Linked DNA regions of Arabidopsis thaliana. The protein of the gene in region 1 interacts with the protein of each later gene in a pairwise test. Each region holds a gene or a part of one and is shown on either strand. Other genes may lie near its edges. The genes, in order: EMB3101 and CJD1.

Region 1 (4,552 bases):
CTAGCAGCCGTTGTTAATCAAAAGCTTGAAGAATTTCGTCATCTTCTTGTATGTGCAGAAATGTGTCATCAGAGGATCGGTGGTTGGAATGAGAACAAGAATCGCTGATGAAGTGATTGTAGAGGATTCGATCATTGTCGGTTCTGATATTTATGAGGTAAACCAGGTTTCTTGGATCGAAATTAGACTAATTAATACCATATTATAAAGTTTTAAAACAATATTTTTTGGTCACGAAATGTGTTTTAAAGATGGAAGAAGATGTGAGAAGAAAAGGGAAGGAGAAGAAGATAGAGATTCGAATAGGGATCGGTGAAAAGAGTCGAATAAGACGAGCCATTGTTGATAAAAATGCCAGGATTGGTAAAAACGTTATGGTAACTACATGGATTTCAACTTACAAAATTCAATTTCTATAGGTTATATATATATATAAATATTTTTTTCTCTTGATAAATACAATTCACAGATAATCAACAGAGACAATGTTGAAGAAGGAAACCGAGAAGCTCAAGGATACGTAATAAGAGAAGGAATCATTATCATACTTCGAAACGCAGTGATCCCGAACGACTCCATCCTCTGATTTTTTTCCTATTTTACAAAATCCATCATTTTTCAATGTAAAATAAAACATTTCTATTACATGTCACCAAGGAATGAAATTAATATGGTCAACAAACCTGTTACTAATTGAAACAATTACATTTCACAAAAACTTTTACAATAGAATGTTGCTCTCACTCACATAGCATCATCAAACTTTGTAAAGTTTCACAGATCAAGCAGGTAGTTAGTTATATGATTAACGTTTGCTACTAATTAGATGCTCAAGTATCTCAACAACATCAATGGCACAAAAGCAGACAGACTCAGCCAAAGCTTTCCACACAGAAGATTCCGGTACCATATCCTGACTAACCATCTCTTCCAACCACATCACAGCTTCATATCGCCGGTCCATATCACAAAGACCTTTTATCATCATATGGTAAGTTTCGACACCAGGAAAGTGTGATTTTATCAACATCTCCTCCATGACCTGACTCGCCTCAAGAAATTGACCATCTCGACACAGACCATCCACTAGAGTTTGATATGTTTCTTCGTTCGCTACACAAGAAACTTGCTTAGACATCTTTTTGAGATATCCAACAGCCTCCATGGATTTTCCATCATCGCATAGACCTTTTATAAGAACGTTATACACTCCAACTGTTGGAAGGCAATGACCTTGCATCATCTCCTTATTGATTACAGAAACTGCTTCTTTAAGCTTCCCGGCTCTACAGAGTGCTTTAACCTTGGCACCATAAATAAATGGTGTAGGCTCAAAGCCTTTGCTTCGCATTGCAAGGAGCACCTCTTCACCTTCAACAAGCTTACCTTCCTCAAAAAGATCAGTAGCCATGGCACTATAGCTATCCAAACAGGGAATTGCACCTCGGATCAAAGTCTCGGTTAACAATCGTTTCACCCGCTCTATACCCTCACTGCTACTCTCCCAGTGACCAGCTTCAATATGATGGTAACATCGTTTCGGAGCCTTTAATCCTTTTCTCAAGATTTTACCAAGAATTTCAATAGCATCATCAACCTCACCAGCATCACATAATGCATCCAATAGAATTCTATAAACCACAATGTCCTCACCTGAACCTTTCTGTGAGATCCTCCAGAACATTGAATACAACAGGTGAGTGGCTTCCTCAAGTTTCCCCTCTAGACAAAACCCCTTCATCAAAATCCTGTAACTGTCTCTGTCCGGATAACAACCCTGGTAATTCATCTCTTGAAAAACCTGAGACGCAAGGTCAGAGCGATTGACCTGGCAAAGAACCTTCATAAGCAAATTCAGAGCCGTTATTCGAGAATTCACCTCCCAACCATAACAATACTTTCTGAAGATATGACAAGCAGCTTCGAGCTCGGATTCTTTAACCATCTCCTGTAAAAGAGTATCGAAAGATAGACTCCAATTCACACAATTGAACTCATGAAGGCTCTTGAAGAGAGAAATAGCATCTTCCAGCCTTCCAGCTCTGGAGAATGTACGAATAACCGATGCAAAAACCGAATCTTTACATTCACAAGAATCTTCCTTCATTCTCTCAATGACATATTTCATTTCCAACACACGGTTAGATTTACCGAGAATGTCAATCATGGTAGCATACACCGAGCCATTGTGACCGTAACTCGGAAACCTCTCTTTCGCTTCCTCAAAAAGCTTAAGTGCTGTCACTGGATTCTTCTGCTTCTTTAGGATTTGAGAAAGAAGACTTGGCGTTAGAACTCTTGGCCATCTAACAACACTCATGATAACTCAGAAATCTCTTCAGGTCACATCAAGGAATCAGATTTCCTGCACAATCAATCTCGCCTCGTCAGCTTAAAGATGATAAGAACACGAGTCAACAGTCTAAACCCTAGAAACCAAAATCATTTCAAATTAAACAAATTTCGCCATCTAACTTTTCAAAGTTGTGATTTTTCAATAACCTGGAGATTTCAGTATCGGATTTTAGGGGTCTCTTCTTCAAGTTCAGTCTCGTAAAGGCAGAGACTTTGGAAGAGGTTGTGATAATTGTTTCGTAGTACGGTAAATAAAGAAACTTTCCATTTTTGCCCCATAACTTTCAACTATTCATACAAAATACCCCGCATACTTCAGGATTTGAGAATTACAACCCACAACTACAAAGCAAAGTATGTATACAACAATCAAAAGAGCCTGATCAAGAGCATGTTTATGCTTTCTTTGACTCGGATCCAATTTCGAAACTATCTGTTTTTATTGATCTTGAAGAGCACCATGGACTGTATTACACATTCCAGGATTCTTCAAACACCACAATGGTTGGATAGGTTCAGCTCCAATCCCTCTCTTAACCATCCTATACCTCCACAGGTTTAAACGGTCCACGGCTTCACCACATCTCTTAACACCTCTCTCGTCTCTATTCCCTGACCACAAGCTCTCCGCCAACGCAGAGGCACGTGGCCAAAGACGTGAGTCTAAAACCGTCGAGTCAGCTTGCTCTGACCACAATGCAACCTCTCCTCCTAGCACCAGCTTCCTCTCTTCCTCATTGAGCAAACCATCAGCTATATCATAGTTGTATATGCTCTGCCACGTCTTAAATGGTGCACACCAAGACCCGCCACCGCTTTCTTTCTGATCATATATACTATCATTCCCTAGAAACCCGCCGTGACCACAGTCTAAGTAGTAGAACTCTGATGAAGAGACAATTACTCTGTAACCAGCAGCTACGATTCTCTTTGTGTTCTCCGGACCGTTATTCCAAGTCTGTAAGATTGTGTGCTCTTTAGGAAGAACAGATGGATCCGCCTTGATTTGTGCATCCAACAGAACATCTTCCCAGTAAACAACTGTGCGGTTCTGTGACACGATGTAAGGTAATGTCGAGTTTATGTACTTTTCAAGAAGCTGGCTTAGTGTTCCACCAGAGGACAAGAAAGAATTGATGGCAGGATCGGTTTTCCAACAGCCTGGGATAACTTCATCTCCACCTCCATGAAAGAAAGATTCTGGAAATTGATTAACGATATCTTGTATGACGTTTTTAACAACTTCATATGTTTTAGGACTCAAAGGGTTAAGCTGACCAGTCCCAGGTTCACTAGCTAACCGCTCTTCCCAACTTTTTCCAGCAGGCCACCAGAACATATTGGCACATGTCACAATTTCCGGGTAAGCTTCTCCCCATGATCCTGTATGACCTGTGGAGTTTTAACAGTATCTATTAGAACCAAGCTAAGTTCTTGTGCAAGAGAAAATCAAGAATGGACTTACCAGGAGTGTCTATTTCAGGAAGTACTCTAACACCATGCTCAAAACCATACTGAACAATCTTTGAGACATCCTCGGGAGTGTATACCATGTCTGGTCCAAGAGATCCTTTTGCAGCAAGTGAAGGTTCAGAAGGAAGCACCAGTGGAAAAGATTGTGAATCAGTGATATGCCAATGGAACACATTGAGTTTGTTTGCACTCATGGCCTTAATAGTCCTCATTATATCATCTACTCCATAGTAATTCCTCGATGTATCGAGCAAAACACCTCTATGGCCAAACAGAGGAGAATCCTGAATATAAATTCCAACGGGTAAGCACAAATCAGGAGATGTTCCCCAAATCATCTGAGAGAATGTCTCAAGGCCACGCATAGCTCCCCAAGCCGAATGAGCTAACAAGTGCGCGGAGAAGCTGCCAATGGGGATGGAGAGTTTGTAAGACTCATCAACACCGTGGTGAAGCGGAAGAGAAAAATCGGTAACAGTGACTACAAGGTTCCTCAAGGTGTATCTTTTCATAAGTTTGACAGGATAGCTAATGAGAGGCGAGTAATTCTCAGAACGGATCAGGTTGTGATACCGTGTTACAGAGGCCGAAAGGTATTGGTGTTCAGGGGCAAGGATAGTGAAATTTGGAGAGAGTGCAATGGCTTTATGTTGAGGCCATGAGAGAAATCTCGGCTTTGGCCAAATGTTGATAGGTAGAGCAATGGAGAACAATGGCGAAAGAA
Region 2 (5,591 bases), 1.1 Mb from region 1:
AAAATTATTCATTCCTATATCAATTGTTCAATGTTTCATTTGTTTTTTTTTTACAGTTAAAATTCATCATGTCTCCAATTAATTGAAGCATTAGGCAAGATATGTCATCTAGAAATATGGTTACCACATTGATTCTAAGAAAATAAATCGAACTTGTGTGTGTGTTTTCAAAAGAAGGAGAAGAAGAAGATGGAAAATGAGAGCGAATTAGGGAAACGTACCACTTTAGTAGTAAGAAACGCTTTGAAGTTGAAGACGTAACTCAAATATACTTTTCAAAGTATGTACTGTATATATAGTGTGGAGCAGCTGTACGTACTCCATCTATAAATAGAGAAAGACAGAGATATAGAGATAGAGACAGAGTCAGCTCCAACGTGTCAGCTCTACTCATAATTGGCGTCTCTGTTCTCTCTCTATCACATTTGTTTTATTTCCCATCGGATTCACTTCACCTACATAGTCCTTTTTCTTTTGCTGACCGTAGTGGACACTCCTTTTTGATGACAGTCGAATTCAGTCTTAGCCACCTGACCTGACCTTTATCTAACCCAACCAATCAGATTCGTACCTCAAATCTATGAAACATCTTTTCAGATGATTTTTCTCGCCACCACACCAAAGATATTAGCTCTCTATTTTGATCCCTATAACTTTTCATCTATCATCAATTCTAAACTCTCCACAGTTGTGTTTTAACAAGGTTGATAACGTTTCTCATCTTCGTAACGCTTCAATTGTGTGTACGACTGATACTTTCAAGGTATCTCAAGATTTTTCACTTCACGCATATTATTGCTCCAATACAAAAATTAAAAAACCTTCCACATGCGATCCTCAGCATTAAACGTAAATAGACAAGACTTAGATTCTAAGGGATTTCTCTCTTGCAAAATTTACTTGATTTTCCACACAAAAGAAAGGTTATAAAGATAACCCCATCTCTCTGTAGAAAATAAACTTTTCATCTCCCAGCAACATCCTATAATACAGCATAACTTCTCCAAAAGCTTCTAACTGACCAATTCTCCTGTGGACTCTCGCATTATCTGTAAAACGACGCTATAACATAGAGCATGAAAGCCGATGACGCCGTCACTATAAGTTCCTGCAACCGAATTAGCACTGTTCAGTCAGTTCTTGTTACATCATCAAAAGCCTGGTTGACTGATATCACTTATGGAACTATTTAATTTACAGACCAGACCCTTCTCTTTGCTATATCTTAATTCAGCAATTGTGGCAACACATATCCAACTCATGTGTTCCCAATTCATACCTAATACTTGTGCATTTAGTTTTTATTTCAGTACAAGTACTTCTTATACCTATAGATGTCACAAATCAAAACAAACAGCACAATCATCTACAACCTAATCAACTAGTGCTGTTCATTGAGGCTTAGCCAACAATTGACCTAAATATCCTAAACCATTTTTTGATCAAAATGATCATTTTGTGTGGGACTAGTTAAGAGAAGGTTTCAAGCGAAGAGAGATGTAAGTTATGCAAAAAAAACAACCTGGTTGTTGTAAAGAACCATGGGTATGGAGTAGCCCATGTACTCGATGCCATTTAAGAACCCAGTGTATGCCTGCAAAACATTGTTCACTGAGAGTTAAACATAGGTATACACAATTAAAAGAACTCCTGACATATCTAATAACTAGATCAAACAATCAGGAGCATCCATAAAATAACGCTTGGACACATTTATATCACATATGCCGCTCTCTTTGAATAAACCTAATACTAGATGGTGCAACATAAAACGGATTCTTTAAAATAACGGAGTCTTGATGGATATGCATACCAAAGATGCTAAGAGTATAGAGCCAAAAACTAAGGAAAGAGAACGAAGAAGCCTCTTTCCCATTCTCAATCCCCGTCCACTTTCTTCGCCTTCCTCCTGCAGCCAGTGTCAAACATCAGTGCACATCAGGATTAAAAGAGCCACTAAGTGTACGGACATCAAAACATAAGGCTTCAAAAAAATTCAAAACTCACGTTATATATTGGAGATGAAGGTGCTTCAAAGGATTTTAATTTCTCAAAAATTCTGTAAACAAATACAAAAGACATGAACTGCAGCGGTTTGTATTCAACATTACGTTTTATCGCAATCCATGCACTCTGCAAAAGAAAGAAACAGAAAGAGTGGGAGAGGCTCATATCTGATTGTACTTGAAATGTCATATATGCATAAATGTGTAAGAAACAAGTCACTTTTTCTGCAAGAATTCAGTCATTTATGCATGATGTCTTGATTCATAAAGGGTACAGATAAAAAAAAAAAAAAAACTGACATTTCTAATAATAGCAAACCTCATATTTCTTAAAAACTACTTACAAACACAACTGATATTGCTAGGTTGATCAACATATCATTCTTGGAGGACCTGGAAAACCTGTAACAACAAGGGTAAATCATGAGTAGTAACAGATCCTGCTTTTGAATGATGAAAATTAATAATGCGAGTAGACTCATAAAGAATCTCTACCTTGGACCCCATGGTATAATGGGCTGCTTATCAGCATATTTAATGTCCTTGGAAACCTGAATTATGAAAAATTCACCAAGGATTGAGAAAGAAAGGTCATAGAGTTCAAGACAGCATATGACAAGAAAGAGGATACGATACACACCTTAAACGAACCAAAAGTCACACCCTTTTTCCTATTCATCAACTGGGCATACATGAGCTTATCATATGCCTTCTCAAGCTATCAAAAGGTAAAACAGAGACGTGTTAACAAGAAAAAAAAAAAAAAAAAATCACTTACAGGACTCCAAAGAAAGAGAGAGGTAACGTAACTTACTAGAGCAGCAGTGGCTTCATCACCGCTCCTCTGAGCATCTTTAAGTTTCCTTCCATAAGTTTGCTTGATCTTGTCAAATCCCTCTATAGGGTTAACACCAAGAACCTGAGAAGGTACACACACTCATGTCATGAGAAATACACAACGACCAACAAAACAAGTCCTTTATAGGGCTCTAACGATCAATTACCTCATACGGATTAAAGTCAGCATCAGACTGTGGATTACCAGCCGCAGACGAAGCAGCACGTATCACAATCCTGCTCTGTAACACCTTTCCGAGGGGAAGCCTGAGAATTTCAATCATCCTCATTACAATGATAACGTGTACCAAATGGTCTGATAAGCACAACAATGGAACTCTCTTAAGTGCAATTGAAAGTTGTAAACTTTATAGGCAACAGTAAGAAGCTCATCCACGAATTAAGCCGTCGGAATTCAATTGACAATGTTTATGAAGGAAGAAGATAACGGTTACCCACAAAATCCGTAAGTTTACACAACAAAAAGAACTATCAAACGATGATTCTTCGACTTTAAAGCCACCGAAGAGAAGTGGAAAACAAAAAAGCAGCATCAAGAGAAAGTACCTGACAAAAGAAGGCGATTTGGGAGCGCGAAGAGAGTTCCTGAGAGAAATTTGAGGATGATGGTAACGAAGCGCGTTTGATGTTGAGAAAGCCATGACGGAGGAGCAAGAAGTAGATAGTGCGGGAGCCATGGCAGAGCAGAGCTCTAGTAGGGTTAAAAGGAAACTAGAAGGTTGGTGATTGATGTTTGGAAGCTAATCATTCAATACTCAATAGTTTGTTAAGGCTAAAAACTGAGGCCTGACCAATAGTTCGCGTGGCCCAATGGATAAGGCGCTCGCCTCCGGAGGGGGATATTCTCGGTTCGACCTCCATCGTGAACGAATTAGGTAATAATAAAGACGGCCTGCTTTCTTCAGCCCAACTGATTTATCGGCCCAATCCAGTGTCTTTATTAGTTTGTTTTCGTGGGATCTCTGGTTTACTTACTTGCAGGGATTATCTCCCAATTCCAATCCAAACATGCCACACTTTTCTTATCTCTTTTTCAGATTTCAATCTCGTCCAAGAAATCGTTTAGTACTCACATTCAATTTGGAAATGTTTTTGCATAAATTGGGGTTGGATTTCCTACCTCTTTTTCACTAGATTGTGCATTATCAATTTATGAACTTTTTCTGGAAACATATTAAATTGTAGATCCAATATTTTATCTTAACAAATCTGGATCTGTTGAGAATGTTTTTCTGTAATTTAGAGAGGATTGTAATTGTGTAGTACATTTGATAATAAACTTAAATGTGAATTTTAGACTACCACCAAGTAATTATCATTTCAAAGAACAAACCAAATAGATAATAAAGAACTGTTAGAAAGTAAAATTGTATATAATAAGATAAGAAAAGACATTACAAAGTACAAACCTTCTCCAAGTAAACTTCTAACAAAACAAAAAAATAGATTTGGATTGGGAAATAATATCTAAAATCCTATTTAAAACAAAATAAAAACAAAAAAGATATAACGTTAAGGAAAAGGAAAATACTAGTAGAAAAAAAAAACATGTAGGCATCAAAAGGAATATTCTCAAGAGTTTTGGCTATAAAAAAAGGTAGAGCCGACTCAAGAGGTCTTCTTAACTCACACAAGAACCAACACAAAACAAAAAATATTAAGAAAGTGATATTATGACTTGCAGCCAAACACTCGGAAACAACAACACCAACAAATACCAGATCTGCGAGGAGATCGGCCGTGGCCGTTTCGGCACCGTCTCTCGCGTCTACGCTCCGGCCACCGGTGATTTCTTCGCTTGCAAAACCATCGACAAAGCCTCTCTCTCCGACGACCTTGACCGTGCCTGTCTCGACAACGAGCCTAAGCTCATGGCTCTCTTGTCCTATCACCCTAACATCGTTCAAATCCATGATCTCATCGACACTGATTCGACTCTCTCCATCTTCATGGAGCTCGTCCATCCCTCTGTTTCGATCTACGACCGTCTCGTCTCTTCTGGAACCTTCTTTGAGCCTCAGACGGCGTCGTTCGCTAAACAGATTCTCCAGGCGCTTTCGCATTGTCACCGATACGGCGTCGTTCACAGGGATATTAAACCGGAGAACATTCTGGTAGATCTACGAAACGATACGGTTAAGATCTGCGATTTCGGTTCAGGGATTTGGTTAGGTGAGGGAGAGACCACCGAAGGAGTCGTCGGAACGCCGTATTACGTGGCGCCGGAGGTTTTAATGGGATATTCTTACGGAGAGAAGGTCGATCTATGGAGCGCCGGCGTCGTTTTGTACACGATGCTCGCTGGAACTCCACCGTTTTACGGCGAGACAGCTGAAGAGATATTCGAAGCGGTACTCAGAGGAAATCTCCGTTTTCCGACGAAGATATTCCGGGGGGTTTCATCTATGGCTAAAGATTTCCTAAGGAAATTGATATGCAAAGATGCTTCTAGAAGATTCTCAGCCGAACAAGCATTAAGTAAGATTCTAAAACCATCAGATCTGTTTCTCTGTTGAATTTTTAATGTCAATAAATTTCATCTATTTTTAACAGATAATGTTATCTTATCCACACTAATCCATTTTTTAGTAGGTTGGTTTAATGATAAAGTGAACTAAATTTGGTATTTTGTAATTTTGTTTTGTTGCAGGGCACCCATGGATCCAAAGAGCAGGAGAAACAGAGGAGAGATTCATCTAGAAGATTCTCTCGGAGAAATAAATAAGT

What was found.
Region 2: the proteins of EMB3101 (region 1) and CJD1 interact in a two-hybrid assay, tested with the Arabidopsis thaliana proteins (one study listed by BioGRID).

What each region holds. Positions count from the first base shown.
Region 1 is NC_003070.9:1,669,929-1,674,480, reverse strand, and holds EMB3101 (Tetratricopeptide repeat (TPR)-like superfamily protein), read right to left. Parts: upstream 2,566-4,552; 5' UTR 2,503-2,565; intron 2,383-2,502; exon of another isoform or gene 2,366-2,382; 5' UTR 2,321-2,365; coding exon 806-2,320; 3' UTR 634-805; downstream 1-633. Other genes in the region: APS2 (ADP-glucose pyrophosphorylase small subunit 2), read left to right, coding at 59-157, 252-377, 470-586; HEXO2 (beta-hexosaminidase 2), read right to left, coding at 2,795-3,747, 3,821-4,552.
Region 2 is NC_003070.9:2,747,669-2,753,259, forward strand, and holds CJD1 (Chloroplast J-like domain 1), read right to left. Parts: upstream 3,953-5,591; 5' UTR 3,542-3,952; coding exon 3,411-3,541; intron 3,111-3,410; coding exon 3,011-3,110; intron 2,926-3,010; coding exon 2,821-2,925; intron 2,725-2,820; coding exon 2,647-2,724; intron 2,558-2,646; coding exon 2,502-2,557; intron 2,409-2,501; coding exon 2,351-2,408; intron 2,134-2,350; coding exon 2,008-2,133; intron 1,910-2,007; coding exon 1,814-1,909; intron 1,595-1,813; coding exon 1,523-1,594; intron 1,109-1,522; coding exon 1,046-1,108; 3' UTR 693-1,045; downstream 1-692. Other genes in the region: AT1G08645 (uncharacterized protein), read right to left, coding at 4,145-4,162, 4,274-4,339, 4,583-4,927; PPCK1 (phosphoenolpyruvate carboxylase kinase 1), read left to right, coding at 4,538-5,342, 5,515-5,564. UniProt on the Arabidopsis thaliana protein: Probably involved in the regulation of the fatty acid metabolic process in chloroplasts, especially chloroplastic galactolipids monogalactosyldiacylglycerol (MGDG) and digalactosyldiacylglycerol (DGDG).